3 linked regions of the Rattus norvegicus genome follow. The protein of the gene in region 3 purifies or fractionates together with the protein of the main gene of each other region. This does not show direct contact. Links are inferred from orthologs where the notes say so. Each region holds a gene or a part of one and is shown on either strand. Other genes may lie near its edges.

Region 1 (4,948 bases), about 19 Mb from region 3:
GGTTTTTTTTAAGTCATCTTAAAAACAGGAAGGGCAGCAAATAAACTCAATTTAAATGGTTGCATTAGGAATTTCCAAGAAAGTCACACTTGAAAAATATAAAACCCCACTTAAGCTACGGTGACCCACATAATGCAAAATAGAACCCTCTGCTATAGAAAAGCACAACTAAAAACATGTAAATGGCTTAGTTTCATAAAGGTGACAATCCCTTTAGCCAACTGTTTACAAAGGTGAACAATCCAAAATAACTTTAGTTTCTTACAAAGAGCAGGGACAGGAGCTGTTCAAAACCACGTGTTCAATCCAACTGAAATGTGGCTTGTACCGACTGGGGAGCTGTCTTGAGTGTGAGAGACGCGAGTCTGAGAAGCAGTTTGGATAGATAACCTTGTATAAAAATAGTAGTAGTCTTTTAAGTGTAGAATACTGCCTAACTCTGGAGATGCAGGGGTCAGCATTCTTTAGGTTCAAGGTATTAATTTTTAAATAGCAGCTGAGTGTGTCCTCATGGCAAAGCATAAAGACCTTTATTTTTCCTTGAAAAGGAATTTCAAAATTGTCCCTTCCCCTCACAGTGTCCTAGAATCTAAGGAGCAGGGGAGGGGCTGTTGTCCTGTACTCCAGCGTTCTCTGAAGCGCTGCTGAAGGAGGCTGTTGGCCAGGGGTCAGTAAGAGCTGTGGGTGAGTCCTCGGCGCTCATCACTCCACAGCAAAGCCACAGGTCTCCTCGATGGCTGTTAGCAGCTTTTCGTAGAGCTTCTCATAGCTCTCATAGGGCGGAATGTCTATTCGATTGAAACTGTGAAGAAGCAAATCAGACTTGATCATTTCTCAGAGCAAGTCAGCAGGTGCAGCACGTGAGCATAACACGGCCTTTGTCTCAGACGGAAAGGTAGAAGCTGCTGTCCTCTAACGCAGAGATCACCACGCTGGGGAGTGCCTACTGATTTCTGAATAACTTTTTAAATCACTTCAAGGAAGTGTTCATCATTTCTTTTAAACTAAAATCTACCTACAACGACAGAGGAGAATACAAAAATAACTCACCAAGTGTGGGCTTTTGGCAGGTTGTTCGTGCAGGCATCAATCTGGTGTATGGTAAAGAGCCGTGGGCCCGCGGCACCTGCCAGTGAAGGAATGTGGGTCAGATCACAGCAGGTACAGGAGTCCATCTCCAACGCCTCAGAATAAACTGGAACATAAACCACGGGCTGGGGAGCACCTTGCATTCACACACACTAACATGGGGGCTTATAGGAAAAGTAGCCTGGTTTTGAGGTTGTAAGTGACATGTAGGCTCAGACCAGGTGCCGTAACAGCAGCACTGCTGTCTGAGAGAAAAGCTTAACTGATGGCCTCTGTCAGCGTGGTGCCACAGAACATCTGCATCCCAAAACAATATGAACACATTTGGTTTGCTTTTTTTTTTTTTCTTTTTCCAAAACAGGCGACAGGATTTCTGTGTAGCCTTGGCTGTCCTGGAATTCTCTCCACAGACCAGGCCTCTGCCTCTGAAGTGCTTGGATTAAGTGCTGGCTCACTGTTTGAAATAGCATCTTGCTATGTAGTTCAAGAGAATCTTAAACTCAAGATCCTCCTGCCTCAGCTCCCAGAGGGCTAGGATTATAGGCATATGCTATTATGCTTAAAATACACATTTGAATCATATTTAAAGATGATAACCTAATGCAAATTTACACTTATGACTCAAACTGAGCTTAGCAAAGATTAGCAGTCTACGCACACATGCCCCACAAGGGAAGACCACTCCACGTTCCCCAAACAGGGAAGGGAACACAAACTTTAGGTAGCTTTGCCCAGGCTTTCTGAGCATGCTGTGGGCAACTGCTGAGGAATCCTGCACTAGTCTACACTGCTGATTCTCCCTCCTCACCGGCAGCTTCGAAGCCAAGAGTTTAAGGTGAAGGAAGCAATGGCCACCGAATGATGCACCACAGCCATCAGCAATGTTATCAACTCAACCAAAACGCCAACAGTTTACTCCACAGACCAATTCTAAACACTGAAGACGGCTGTAAGTCACTAGTCTGAAGTCATGTAATAAAGTGCTCTGACCAATCAGTCGGCTTTCAAAATTCATGCTGCCTCCCTCCTGTTAGAAGAAAGGCAGAGGAGGCGTCTCGGGTGGGTAAAGGTTTGCCAAGCTGAGACGTGAACATGGAGGTAGATGACCTTCCCTGCAAAGTTAAAGGCAAGCTGACCAGAAAGTGCAAAACAGAGCATCAGCACACAGGCTTTCTCTACACTGCTCACCGCACCCACTGCGATCAGAGAAGTCTGTCAGAAAGGCCTCTGCAGAAGGAGCTGCAATGGAGTCACATATAGGAGCTATCAATCAAAGATCTTCATAAGCACAGGGCTGGCTATAAAAACAGCAATGTACCCCAAACACTGATCCGTCCCATCCCATCCTTCCCTACCCCTGCAAGAGTGCAAGCAAGGTACCTGTGTGCCCACCCCAGGACTCCTCACCTTGGAGTGCTTTGAAGCCCTGCAGAGGCACTCGAGAGGACCCTGTCACAAACTGGAGCAGCCGTGCTCGTCTCTCCTCATCAAAAAGCTCCACAGCTTTCCAAAACCACTTGACGACGTTGCTGTCTGGGGTGCAGTGCTTTAACCGGGTGTTGGCCTTCCAGTCGCTCACGTCAATTTTGCCAAGCCCACAGATAATGAGCTGTAGAAATATTTGCCAGAGTGGTGAGCTGCTGCGTATCAAAGCTGGGCCTCCCAAGACTTCTCAGATTTGCAAAGCCCCACGAGTGATACACAGCTGAATTATCTGGAAAGCTTTTCAAAGCAACCCCAACAGACCCTGTGCTGCAGGGACTGTAACTGTCTGTCTGTGGCACTCAGGTCTGAATCTTTTTGTTTGTTTTTGGACCTCACTCTGTTGCCCAGGTTGGCCTCAAATTCAGAGACCTGCCTGCCTCTGTCTTCCAAGTGCCACCACCGCTCTGCAAAGGTCTGGATCTTTAAACCTCCAGAAGTATCTACTCATTGTAGGTCCTGTTCACTGTAATGGACTCTGACAAGATCAAAGATTTGTAAAATTTCCAGCTTCAAAATAGAATTCTAAAATTTTAAAACAGTAGACAGAAATCAAGACTCAGTAAACAGTTGGGTGAAACAGCCCATGCCTACAATCCCAGCTCTTCAGAGGCTGAGGCGGGAGGATCAACATGAGTTTGAGGCTAGCCTGAGCTACTACCTTGTCTCAAACAGAAGACTTCTCTTCTTACCACTAAGGTCTACCTGGGCCTTTCTTAGGCCTGCACTGGTTTACATCAGCTCTGACACTGCCAGCTTTGCAGTCTGAGGCACTTCTGTCACCAGCCTGCAGTGTTCTTTGCTCTAAGATCACAGTCACCACTACCTCATTTTACCTATGAAATGATCCAGAGTGTACAGCAAGAGACATGTTGGGTCCATAATATAATTTACTTAACAACTTTGAAATTATATTAAAATGTAGATACTCAAGGGCCAGGCCTTGGGCACACGCTTTTAAACCCAGCATTCAGGAGGCAGAGGCAGAGGCAGATCTGTTGAGTAGGAGGTCGACATGGTCTACAAAGTGAGTTCCAGAACAGCCAATGCTACATAGAGAAACCTTTGTCTTGAAAGATAAAATAAATAAAAATTAAACAAAATACACAAATTCTGCTGTATAGTGTTCCAACTGACATCCTGATACAATCAATACATAAGAACTACACCAAGGTCAGTTTGATAACAGGAACTTATCTCTACAGAGTCCATTACTGAGCGAGGTATGTGTATATATCTAACATGTTTGCTCTATTCATTTATGTGCATATATGTATGTGCACATGAGCACACACCACAGTACACGGGTGGAATTCAGAGGACAACAGTCAGGAGTCATTTTCCTTCTACCGTCTAGGCCTGGGATTGAACTCCGTTGTCAGGTTGGTTGGCATGTGCCCTCACCTGCTAAATCATCTGGATGGACTGCCCATCAAGTGATTATCAGTGAATTATGACAGTGAAACCCATAATGTAACTTGTATGGCCTAGGTTTCATATACTTAGTTTTGATAAGGTAGCATGACCTATGTTCTAAAGATTTCAACAGTGATAAAACTACAATGTAAGTCTTACCCTTACCAAATAAAGTTTACCTCCCAAAAAGGTGGTTTGAGTATATGTGGCACACAGGGGGAGTGGTGCTGTTAGGAGGTGTGGCCTTGTTGAAGGAAGTATGTCATTGTGGGGGTGGGCTTTGAAGCTCTACCCAGTGCAGAAGGGTCAGTCTGCTCCTGGCTTTCTCTGGGTGAAGGTGTAGAACTCTCAGCTCCTCCGGCATCATGCCTGCCTGGACACTGCCATGCTTCCCAGCATGATGATAACAGACTGAACATGTAAGCCATCCCCAATTAAATGCTGTCTTTATAAGAGTTGCCTTGGTCATGGTATCTCTTCATGGCAATGAGAACCCTAACTAAGACAGTATGTCTGAAATAATGAATTCAGACCATTAAGGATGCCTTCTAAATTCTGTCCGTCAGAGGAGTGGCTGTTACAGCACAAGCTCTAATTGACAACATAAGCAGGGGAGAAGGTCCTGTCTCAGATCCACTCACTCTAGCCACCTTGCTCTACGTTCCTCCTCCTCCTGACCTGCCTTGGCCAGCTCATTACTCAGTCACTAAAGGAGCAGGGACAGTACTGAGTCAACTGATTGTTTGTAAACATCTATTAAAGAGACCAGCAGCAAGCCTGGAAAGATGGGTGGCTCAGTGGTTAAGAGCACTTCCTGCTCTTCCAAGGAACTCAGTTTACCATGTTAGGTGGCTACAACCACCTCTAACTCCACGTCCAGGGATCTAAAATCTGCCCGAGTACCTGTACTCATGTACACATACCCACATGCAGACACATGCAATTATACATAATTAAAAAA
Region 2 (5,766 bases), on a different chromosome or scaffold from region 3:
GAAGGAAAAGTGGGGGTACGTCCGTGTTCCATTATAGATGAGCAGGGGAGACAGGGCTGCAATAGTTGGGGCAGACAAGGGATACTACCTGGTATAGGCCACTGGACGCTGGGGGCCACAGGCTGCGGCCGCCCTTGTGGGGCTCTTCTAGAGTGACTCGGAGGTGGGTGAAAACTCACCATTATGCTATAATCTTTGGTAGATTAATAACACAGATTAATCCTGCGGGGTCCTGCTGATATAAATTCAAGCTAGGACCAGAGTAGACTGGTGTGTTCAGAGGCAAGGGAGAACGTTGTGACCCTGAGTAGTTAGGCTACTCTCCCACCAGTTAAGGCTCAAACCCCAGACCAACAGACACGCCCGAGGTGCTTATTTAACATATCGAAGCGAACCTGGCCTCCAGGTTCTCCCAGTATCCCTCAGTCCCTGCGGGTTGCAAGGTCCTCCTGTCCTGCACATTCCAACCCCTGCCCTAAATTTCTCCAGCCCAGGTATTAGCCTAGACTTCCCTCCCCACAGCTGCCCTTCCCTACACAATCTAATAATTTTGGTTCTCTGGTCTTTTTTCATGTACCTTTTACCTTGCAGGCCTCTTGGTGTGGCTCTGCTCCCTCCCTGCTGGGCACCCATGTTCACTCTGAATTCTCCCAGAGGTCTTTGCTTCTGGCTATGCTTTCCCTTTTATCTACAATAAACTTTCTCCTTCACCATACTCAAGACCAAGCCATGTCCTTCCTTTTTTCTTTTTTTCCTGGTCACCTCCTTCTAGGTGCTGAGGCATCAGGAAAGAAAAGGAGAGCTCCTGCTCTCAACTCATGCCAGGCTGGGGACAGCCTTTCAGGGACAGTGATACATCAGTGTGATGGAGGTGGAACAAGAACACGAGGTGGCGGGAGCTGTTTCCCATACCCTCTCACTGCACAGGCACTCTGAAAGACTGGCTTCCTTATAACCTCTCTCAGGCAAGAGCGTTCAAGTTTACAAACTAAAGTTCCCACGAAAGCTACACCTGGGTTAAAGATGTTAGAAGGTTGACTACAACTTTGTGATGGCGGAGAGTTGGAATGCTGCAGATCTTGAGACAAATTACCTTGCTTTAGACCCTTAGTAACCACTTATTGCTTATCTTGTGTCTGACCTAACATTTCTGTGACTACCAGGTAACGCCTTTTGGAATAAGTTAATAGAAAACTAGTGTCTACCAACCCAAACTTAGTAATGTCATCAGCTAGCACCTGAGACATGGAGCCTAGATTTTCATGCTTTGCTGTAGCCTGAGTGTCTGGTTTATGGCTTGCTTTTGTTCTCTGCAACTACAAAAAATATCATGAAACCATTTCCACATTGGACCACGTTATTTGGGGTGATGCGAATCTGTATTCTTGGGTCATGGCAATTCATATTTGGTCCGGGGATAGAATGAAGTATCTCTGATTTCCCTTGAGGTGAGAGCTGTTTTGTGCCTACAGGACGCAGACTGAGGACAGAACACAAGAGCAGAGATTGGGTCAGGAGATGGGACACGGCCTCAGGGAGGAGGTGGTGCCCAGTGCTTCCGGGCATGAGCCCAGCTCCTCACAGCAGCAGAAATTTCCAGTGAGACCAGCCAAGTGTCAAGGTGTATGTGAATTGTGAGGCCAGTGACACTGGGCCCTGATTAGCACCACTGAACGACTGCTATCCCCTAGGATGTTAATCCTATAACACTCCACTCTTAGGGCAGGAGGTCAGCAGACCTGAGAAGATACCACTTTACTCCTGCAGCAAAGAGGGGCCTGGGCTATAAAGAATACAAGCAGCTAAAACCTGGCCACCAATCATCACAGCCAGTCAGGTCTTCGCCACTTGGAAGCTGATGGGGGAGGACTGCTTAAGGCCTGAAGCTCCTGACCAACCTGGTCAACACTGAGAGACCCTGTCTCAAAAAAACCAACGCAGGCTCAACCTCCAGTGCTTCTATCTTGACACACGGAAGAGTATGGAACACTGCTGTTGTTCTTCAAGGTAGGGTCTCTCTCTGTAGCCCAGGCTGGACTTGAACTCAAAATCTTCCTGTTTCAGCCTCCTAAGTGCTGTTCCACCACCCCTGGCTCTTTTACAGCTTTGCCATCTCATCGCACTGCACTGGATTTTGGGGGTTCCTCAGTCTTCACCCCCTTCCTTCTGTAGAACTTGATCTCTTCCTCTCAGTAAAGGGAAGGGCCACGGGACAGAATGGACTGGTGTTTTGTTTGAAACAGGGTCTTACACTGCAGCTTATGCTGCCCTGCAATGAATTTCAGAGTCCAGTTAGCCTGGGACTTTGTGGCAATCCTCCTGTCTTAGTCTCCTGGGTGTAGGATTACAGATGTGAGCCACCGCTTCTGGTGGGAGGTTTCGAAACGTGTGCTCTCCCAGCCAACTGCAAAGAACATGACTGGGAACCCTACACCTGCCCATCTGAGTCTTGGATCGGTCCAACCTATTCTGACATGAACCCCAAGGCAGAGAGGGTCCAGCAGTGAGATTTAATCAGCGCTCCAAGGTACTGATGTAGCAGCACTCTTATCCAGGAGTATTTTTTGCCCGAGGCAGGCAAACTTTCAGGGCAGGAAGAGATGCTGAGCTTTGAACTGAACGGCATCTTAAACCCAAATGAGCTTATCCAGGTCTCTGGACTTTCAGGCTGGCTTTGAAGGCCAGACTAATTTGCCTTTGTCTTTACATAAGACATCTGAGAAGAGGGCTGCCTTCTCTTTCCGGGTCTCAAACAACGATTTATGGTGGGGTTTTTGTGAAGCACCTGGGCTCCAGGCGCCAGAGTTCCCTGCAGAGAACTGATGAGAACCTCAAAAGAGCCACTAACAGCTGCAGTGGTGGTTACAACACAGCTGGACTAACGACTTCGGGGAAGCCTTGGCTTTCAGATCCAGCCTTCCCAGGCTGGACCAACGGCGAAAAAAAAACATCAAAAATAATTTCACAATGCGGTCAGATAAAGGGGATGTGTGTCACGCCCAGACCACCCATTCCTGGGTAAATGTCGCCAGCTGGCCTTCGCCCGAGAGTAGATGCTGGGCGCCGGCATCTTCCCATGGGCTCCAGCTTCAGTAGGCGGTACCTCGTTGACAATGACAGGCGTTAGCCATGTGCCAGGAAACATCCTCAATGCCTCGCGCTTATTAATGCATTTAATGATCAAAGAAGTCCAGCAAGGCCATGCCATGATCCTTAAACTATGGGCGAGGACCATCAAGGAGGCGACGTCACATAAACCCGAGTCTCCCGACCATGGGGACAGAGGCGCGGCCGAACCTAGATACCCCGGCGTCTCGGAATGTGAGCGGCGGGTGACGCGGCGAATGACCCAGGCGCCGCCAGCCCGGGAGAGGCTCTAAGCCTGCGCGCGCCCAGCGGTGGCGCGGCCCAACGCCTTCTCACCACAGCAGTCCCTTTAACCCAAACTTTCTCCCTCTACTCTGGACCCCAGCACGCACACATTGGCTGAGCCACATCCGCCCAGAACTGTCTCCTTCTCCTGCCTATTGGTTACATCAAGCATCAATCCCCATATAAGAATTCCGATTGGCCTGTGCTCTTGTCAATCAGGTGGGAGTCATAGGGTAGGCGGAGCCCAGAGCGCCGCGCCAGCCTCGCAGCCTAGCCTCCCTCCTCCCAGCCCTGACTGTGGACTCCGACAGGTCCCAGGGTCGAGGCCAGAGCGGCACACAGGGGCGGGACTGCACGCGGCTCCCGGGACTCACCGATCCGCTGTCCCACGGGAGAACTGAACGGGTTTCCCAGGAGAAAGTCCATTGCCGCGGCTACCACTGCCACCAGCTCCCAGAATCAGGTGACAGCAACCGCCGGCGCCGCCGACCCGTCACGTGACCCGCTGGCCGGCCCGCGGGGAGGTGCCGGCAGGCGGGGGCTCTGGGGCGCAGCCACGAGCCCCGCCCCCTACCGGGCTGCCCCTCGGCAGTGGCTGACGCCACACCAGGGCGGGGCCTGGGAGAGCTGGCTCCTAAGCCACGCCCCCGAAACTTCTATGTGCGCCGCAGTGGAGCCTAGAAGTCTTCACATCCGGAAACTGGGTCTCTGGCCAAGGAAAGACCTGGGTCAGGTTACGCAAGATAACGAAAATATTAGCATCTTAGCCTTTAGTCTTGGGGACCAAGCCCTAAGGACGATAGCCTCCTGTCCAAGTCGGACTCGAAATTTCTATTTGATGTCTCCCTGCTCCAGGAGCCACTCGTTTGTGGCCAAAGAGGAGGCAAGGACCTGGGTTTGTGCTCCTTTGAGACAGAGAATGAACTGAACATACTGTGGCAAGTTCCTTTACCTGGTAAGCCACCTCATCCACCTTGGCTCTTGGGAAACCAGAAAAGTGCTTTTTCTTTACCTGTTCCCCTCATCTGTAAAGGTGGTGGTGGGACGACCAATATCCATAATGTAATGCTTTCAGAGTATTGAGATGACATGAAAATCACTCAACAGGCATTCCGCGATGGTTGCTTCTTCCTTGCTGTATCTTTGTATTATGTTTTTAATTTTTTTTAGATTTATTTATTTATGTATGAGTACGCACTGTTGCTGTCTTCAGACACACCAGAAGAGGGCACTGGCCCATCACAGATGGTTGTGAGCCACCAGGTGGTTGCTGGAAATTGAACTCAGGACCTCTGGAAGAGCAGTCATTGCTCTTATCCTCTGAGCCACCTCTCCAGTGCCAGGCATTATGTTTTAAATTTGTAATTTTTAAAAATCCTGTATGTGTCAGATCGAAACTTACGAGGAATTGATTCTTTCACATTTAATCTCTTGAGATTAAACAAGTACCGTGGGACATCTCACTTCCTCTCTTCCATTCTTGGCAGGGCTGGGGCTCATCCTAGGACCTTGTCACATTAAAAGCCAATGCTCTGCATCCCGTTTTTTTGGACACAGTCTCCCAAGGCTGGTTTCAAACTCAGATCTCAGGGGTGTTGGAATTAAAGGTGTATGTACATTACAACATGCAGCCTTTAATTATTATTCGTGTTTTGCTACTTATGATTTTTAACATCTTGTATTTCCATTAACTTTTTCCTTAGCCATGAAAGGCCAAATTTCCATATTTCAGTGTTTATAGTATTAGCACACATTCACGTCAGGCCACATGGCTGTAGACTCAGAGACAAGGAGGTGACATCACATCCCCATTTTTTTTTAAATAGACAAGACTCTGGAAAGATCCTGGGATATGAACTACTTTTTAGCATAGGATTTTCATGCAACCCTGACAAAGATTGATGGATACTTCTTGATGTAGGCCAATAACATATTGTATATGGTTTCATCTGCCAAGCACTAGAGCCACACTTATCCGATTCTCTCCTTTTATAATATAAGAAAGTGATATTTGAGAGCCTTTACATATAAGGTGTGTTCAACCTGAGACACAGGGCTGCATGGCTCAGGATCGATAGGAATGTGGTAACTTGGCCTTTATTTCAGGTTTTGGTTTAAAAACTTTAAAATTTTAATTATGTTTGGTGTGTACCTCTGTGTGGGTGTATGCACTTGTGTGCCTGTGCCTAAGGAGGCCACAGAGGGTGACTGATCCTCTGGGACTGGACTTACATTCGGTTGAATGAATGCTGGGATCTAACTTGGGTCCTTTCCAAGAGCAGGAAATAGTCATAACCAATGAACCATCTCTTCAACCCCCCCACCCCCCGCCCTTTTAGAGAAATGCTAGGGTAGAGTAGAGTGAATGACAGGTTTTACAATTTTATAGCAACT
Region 3 (5,066 bases):
TCCCCACTATCAGTGTTCTGGGGCTCCTAAGATGTATAGAATTGGGGGTCACTATAGCAGTCCCCCCTTGTATCATCTCCTCTCACCCAGTCTGTCATTCTAAGAAACAGCAGCTCCAGGCCAAAGCAACCACACCTCGGCTCTAGCATCAGACAAACACAGAGCCCAGAAAGCAAGCAATTCACATACAACAGACGCCATTGGCGCCGGCTTCATTTTAAGTTTCCAAATAACAAGAGTCTCAAAGCTGAGACAAGTCTCTGGGGTCCTCGCTGTCCACTCTCCTGTCTCCAGTCATCAAACTAGCCCAGAAAACGACACATCTTCACATTGCTTAAAAATCCTCTCAACAGCACTAGCTCAGGGGTGACAGTCATCCCACTGGTGACTGATGGCTACCTGGGGGTTCTGGGTTGGGAGGCATTCTGAGGTTTCATCTTGCCTCAGCAGGAGACAGCACAATGATTAATTACTAACGTGCCCATGTGCTAGGGAAGGGAAGGGTCAGTACAATATTTCCTACCCTTGATTACACATTCCAAGAACCTGGAGGCTGTACCATATTTAATTAACTGTATCCCATAGGCATATGCTGTTATGGCTGACTTTTTTACATGGGTTCCAAACTTGGGTCCTTGTATTTTCTCTGCAGGCACTTTAGGAGCAGCCATTTCTCTAGTTTCCACTTTATTTTTCGGATCGTTTTGCACTGAACCTGGAACTTACCGACTGGCTAAATCAGCTAGCTTCAGGGACCTGCCCGTCTCTGCAATGCCAGCTATTGGTGTTACAGACGTGGGCTGCCGTGCTCAGCTTTTATATGTAGAGGACTAAGAGTTCAAGCCCAAGCCCCCTTGCTTGTACAACGAGCACCCTGCCGACTGAGAGCCACTTCCCCTGTTCCACAGTGTTGAAGTGGTGAAAGTTCTCCCAGAGGTGTCCTGTGAAAATGTCCCTTGCCACCGTACAAGTTTACAGCTAGTAGAATAATGTCTGCTGGGGGGCGGCCAATTTCCCACTGTGGTTTATACAATCCGACCCCTGTCTCCATCTCTACCCACCGTGCTCTGAGACAAAAATGGACTCTAACCGGGGAGGTGGAGTTGGAGGAGCAGTCAGGTAAGGCCGGTCGAACACGTGCATGTGGTATGCTGGCGGCGAATACACAGGCGGGGGCTCTTCCTCAGAGCTATCGGGCTCCAGAGTCCTTTCCAAGATCTGAGTCAGAGACAACAAAGAAAAACATAGTCACAATTATTGATTAGGAGATTAATAATCCATCCTTGAACCTCAGTGGCATTCGGATGAAACCAAGTATAGGTGAGGATGTGTCCGAAGGAGTTTTGTGCATTGCTGCTGGGAGCTCGTGTATTGACACTAACATGTGGCTACCATGACCCCTCAATTATACTTAACAAACAGGACAATGCACTGCCTCGAAGAATGGTTCATGGCAGCAGCATCTGTCCAAGCAATGCTCAAGAGCAGCAAAACAAACACAGGGTGGAAGAGAGAGACAGTGACGGTTGGCGAGGATGGGAGGAGGTGCTAGCGACTCTGGGGCTGCCTGTGGAAGAGGCTTATGGATCTGGGTGCCTATCACGGGGTATGTACGTGCCATGAAACCCCACTGGACTGCACACTTGAGACCCATGTCCTCTGTACTCATCTCTGATGATGACATCATCCATACCCTTCCTTCGTCGAACTTCCACATCTCTTATCTTAACCCCAGTCTGGCAAGTTAAGGTCCATTTTACGGATGAGAAAATTAAGGCCCGGGTGTGTTTTATTTGTTCTGTGGTACCTGGAATTGAACACAGGGTCTCACACACATGAGGCAAGAACTCTACCACTGAGGTGTGGGCCAGTTCTTTTTACTTTTATTCCGAAATAGGGTTTCACTAAGTTGCCCTGGCTGGCCTTGAACCTGTCTCATTACTTCCCTTGGGAAGATGTGAAGAAGAGAGAGTGCCCTCCTCCAACAGTTGTATACCAAAGGCCCAGCCCAGTCCAGCATGGCTGACAACCTCTTGAAAGCTCTGTAGAGCCCCTGAGTTAGCCACCTTCTTGAATACTCCAGCATCTCCCAAATTCATCTGCGGCCAGAGCAAAAGCGCAGACAGAGGGGAGATGACTGTAGGAGAGAGGGCAGGGCTAAAATCACAGGTGACCCTCTAATGCCCCTCCCTGCCTTCCATGAGGGAACAGGCCCAAGCTTGCTGAAGAGCTGGTGTCAGAAGTCAGAGCTGCTCTGACTAAGGTGGTAACGGCCATGTCACAGCTCAAAGGAGCACAGGTCAGGCCACTTCTGATGCTCCTGCCCTGCCTGCTGAGACTCAGATTACAGGCCTGTGAGGCTGAGGTCTGGGCCAACACCACTGACTGGCTCTAGGTTGGAACCTTCAACATGAACCATGGGGTTCACAGTCTCGGCCTTCCCTCAGGCAGCCTGCACACCTAAGTAAGATGCTCAGGGTGAACAGCCCCGTTGCCTACAGTCCCTCTGGACCCTTTCCTCTTCACTGAAAGAGCAGGGCAGGGGAAGGCCGAGGATAGGGTGAAGCCAAGTCCCTGTGATTCAGTGGATATGAATCTGCTCCCCAGAGGCATCTGGGCAGCTCTCTGTCACACACCTCAACCCACCCCACCCCTACAGCTCTGTTCCTACTTCCTCAGAGACCAAAGAACCTGGGAAGGGCTCAGAGGTCCTAACTGACTCAGCCCCTAAGCCCCCAGACCCACTTAAACCCTGGGTTTGTAGAAGACACCCCTAAAGTTGTGTCTCTGCTTCTGCCAGGTCAGGTTCCATGGATATATCTGACCCCTATCCCAGCTGCGCCTAGGACGGACGGGGAGGCAGGCTGGCAGGGACTCCCTGGCAGGGATCAAGCACACACACTGCAGCGCTCTGCACGACAGCCTGACCCAAGAAGGCTCCCGCCCTGGAATGCGTGTTCTTTCCTGTGAGGCGGAAAGTATTTAAACAGATGCTTCTGCAGAAGAAGAATGAGGCCGCCTGGCCGGCCCGGGACGCTGCATTGCTCACCCCACATTCCACCAGGAAGGAGAGGGATGCAGGGTGGGGGATGGTATGAGGAATGGGCTCCTGGTGTATGGTGACACCCCATTGCTTAGCACAGAAGGAGCTCAGCAAGATCCTAGGGTACCCAGAAGGCTGGCTGCTGCCTCCTCTAGCCTACACAACCCCGTTTCTGACAGCTCTTGGCTCTGAGCGACAGGGTTCAGGCCTGGTCTGGTGAGAGGGAGAGGGGAGTTCCATGGGTTTCTTCTGATCTGCGGTGTGCCTCCAGACTCAAGGAGCCCAGGGAGGCAGGTGGGTCCTGAGCCTGTTTACTACAGTGCAGCTTCCTGGAGCAGCAAACGCAGCCCCCAGAGAGGAATGCTGGATAGTGTGGAAGCGGGAACGTGGTGGGCCGGCCAGTTCCAGAAAAGAAAACCTGTAGTCCCAGAGATGGAACCCCAGCATCTTTCTGCCCACCCCCTATATTTCTAGCCACAAGGAACTTTTCTGGCTCTAAAGGTTCTGTGGTCCCCCAGCCTAAATCACTGGGTGATGGGTGCCAGCCAGGTGTTCCCGAGGCTGGGAGGGAGGCAGCCTCTGGGCCATTTATCTGATAGGAGCCTTTTCTCTGTGACAAGGATACCCCTTGAGCCAGCCCACCATCCGTCAGCCTCTAGAGACGGGGCTTTTTCCAGTCAGCAGTTATTGTCATTCTTATTGTTCCTCATAAATTTTCTGCAGCATTTTGCACTGGCCCAGGAGCTGTCTGCTGATGGGTCCAGGCAGGCTTCCAGGCTGGGAGAGAGCCAAGGGTGGCCCAGAAGGGGCTCAGTGTGTGGACAGCAGACTTCCTGGGAACAGAAGTGCAGTACAGAATGGAGGCCTGGGGTTGAGGAAGCTTTGAAGAGGTCTGTGGTGCCACGGGCACTGTGGGCAAAGCAGGAAAGACCCCGCCTCCAAGATTGTCAGGACCAACAGGATCATAGAGAGTCAAAGCATGCGGAGGACTTCCCATCTCACACTGAAAGAATGCATCTACACATGCACACAGGCACATGAACTCACACCTCCTTTCAACGAGAAGCATTTGGATTTCCCAGTGTTCTCTTCACTGACTAATGCAGGCAGGCCAAAGGGATGTTTGACAGAGGAAAACGTGAGAGAAAGTTGTGCAGAGACATTGTGAACAGGGCTGGGGAGATGGCTCAGTTGGTGCTTGCAACACACGTTTGAGGTCTTGGGTTCAATGCACAGCACCCTATAAAGTTTGTGGCCCCCACTAGGGATGCCCGTCCAGAGGGAGAGGAATTCTATCCCCCAAAACAAGGTAGCTGACTCTTGAGAAACAACACTCTAAACTGGTCTCCGGCTTACACACAAACACTAGTAACATCTCGACGCAAACATTCCCCTGTACTGCTATGTGCTTGGGGAGAGAACACCACGCTGGCACAAGTCATCATTGCCCACACAGCTGCTCCATGAAGAGAGAATCCTAGAAGCACTCACTAAGGGAAGGAGGGGCGGGTAGGAGGACCAAAGAGACTAGTCTCTGCAGTCAAATCTGGTCCAGAGTTCTCACATTAACAAGGGTAACTGACTGCTCTCATCGAGTTTGAGAAACAGAAAAGATGCATTTCTGAAGCAGTGGAGATGCCCAGCACAGGCTGGACTCTGGAGAGAGTGGAATTCTGGTGTAGCTTACTTGTCATCCCAGATACCTGAGAGGCAGGGGGATGGAAAGTTCAGGGTCTGCCTGAGCTACAGAGAAAACATAAGTCTCTATGCTCCCCAACACACACATAGGCAAACCCTATGTAAAAAGAGGGCTGGGGGGCTGGAGAGATGGCTCAGTGGTTAAGAGCACCGACTGCTCTTCCAGAGGTCCTGAGTTCAAATCCCAGCAACCACATGGTGGCTCACAACCATCTGTAATGAGATCCGATGCCCTCTTCTGGTGTGTGTGAAAACAGTGACAGTGTACTCATATAATAATAAATAAATAAATAAATCTTTTTCCTTTTTAAGAGGGCTGGGTGTG

The links.
Region 1: the proteins of Cuedc1 (region 3) and Smurf2 purify together in Homo sapiens (co-immunoprecipitation; 3 studies listed by BioGRID and IntAct, with this or other methods). This does not show direct contact. The link is inferred for Rattus norvegicus from reciprocal best matches to the Homo sapiens genes CUEDC1 and SMURF2.
Region 2: the proteins of Cuedc1 (region 3) and Tom1 purify together in Homo sapiens (co-immunoprecipitation; 3 studies listed by BioGRID and IntAct, with this or other methods). This does not show direct contact. The link is inferred for Rattus norvegicus from reciprocal best matches to the Homo sapiens genes CUEDC1 and TOM1.

The regions. Positions count from the first base shown.
Region 1 is NC_086028.1:92,263,436-92,268,383, forward strand, and holds part of Smurf2 (E3 ubiquitin-protein ligase SMURF2), read right to left. Parts: intron 2,699-4,948; coding exon 2,497-2,698; intron 1,127-2,496; coding exon 1,051-1,126; intron 803-1,050; coding exon 703-802; 3' UTR 1-702. UniProt on the Homo sapiens protein: E3 ubiquitin-protein ligase which accepts ubiquitin from an E2 ubiquitin-conjugating enzyme in the form of a thioester and then directly transfers the ubiquitin to targeted substrates.
Region 2 is NC_086037.1:13,409,347-13,415,112, reverse strand, and holds the start of Tom1 (target of Myb1 membrane trafficking protein), read right to left. Parts: upstream 3,870-5,766; 5' UTR 3,799-3,869; coding exon 3,747-3,798; exon of another isoform or gene 538-3,746; intron 1-537.
Region 3 is NC_086028.1:73,465,392-73,470,457, reverse strand, and holds part of Cuedc1 (CUE domain-containing protein 1), read right to left. Parts: intron 1,219-5,066; coding exon 1,091-1,218; intron 1-1,090.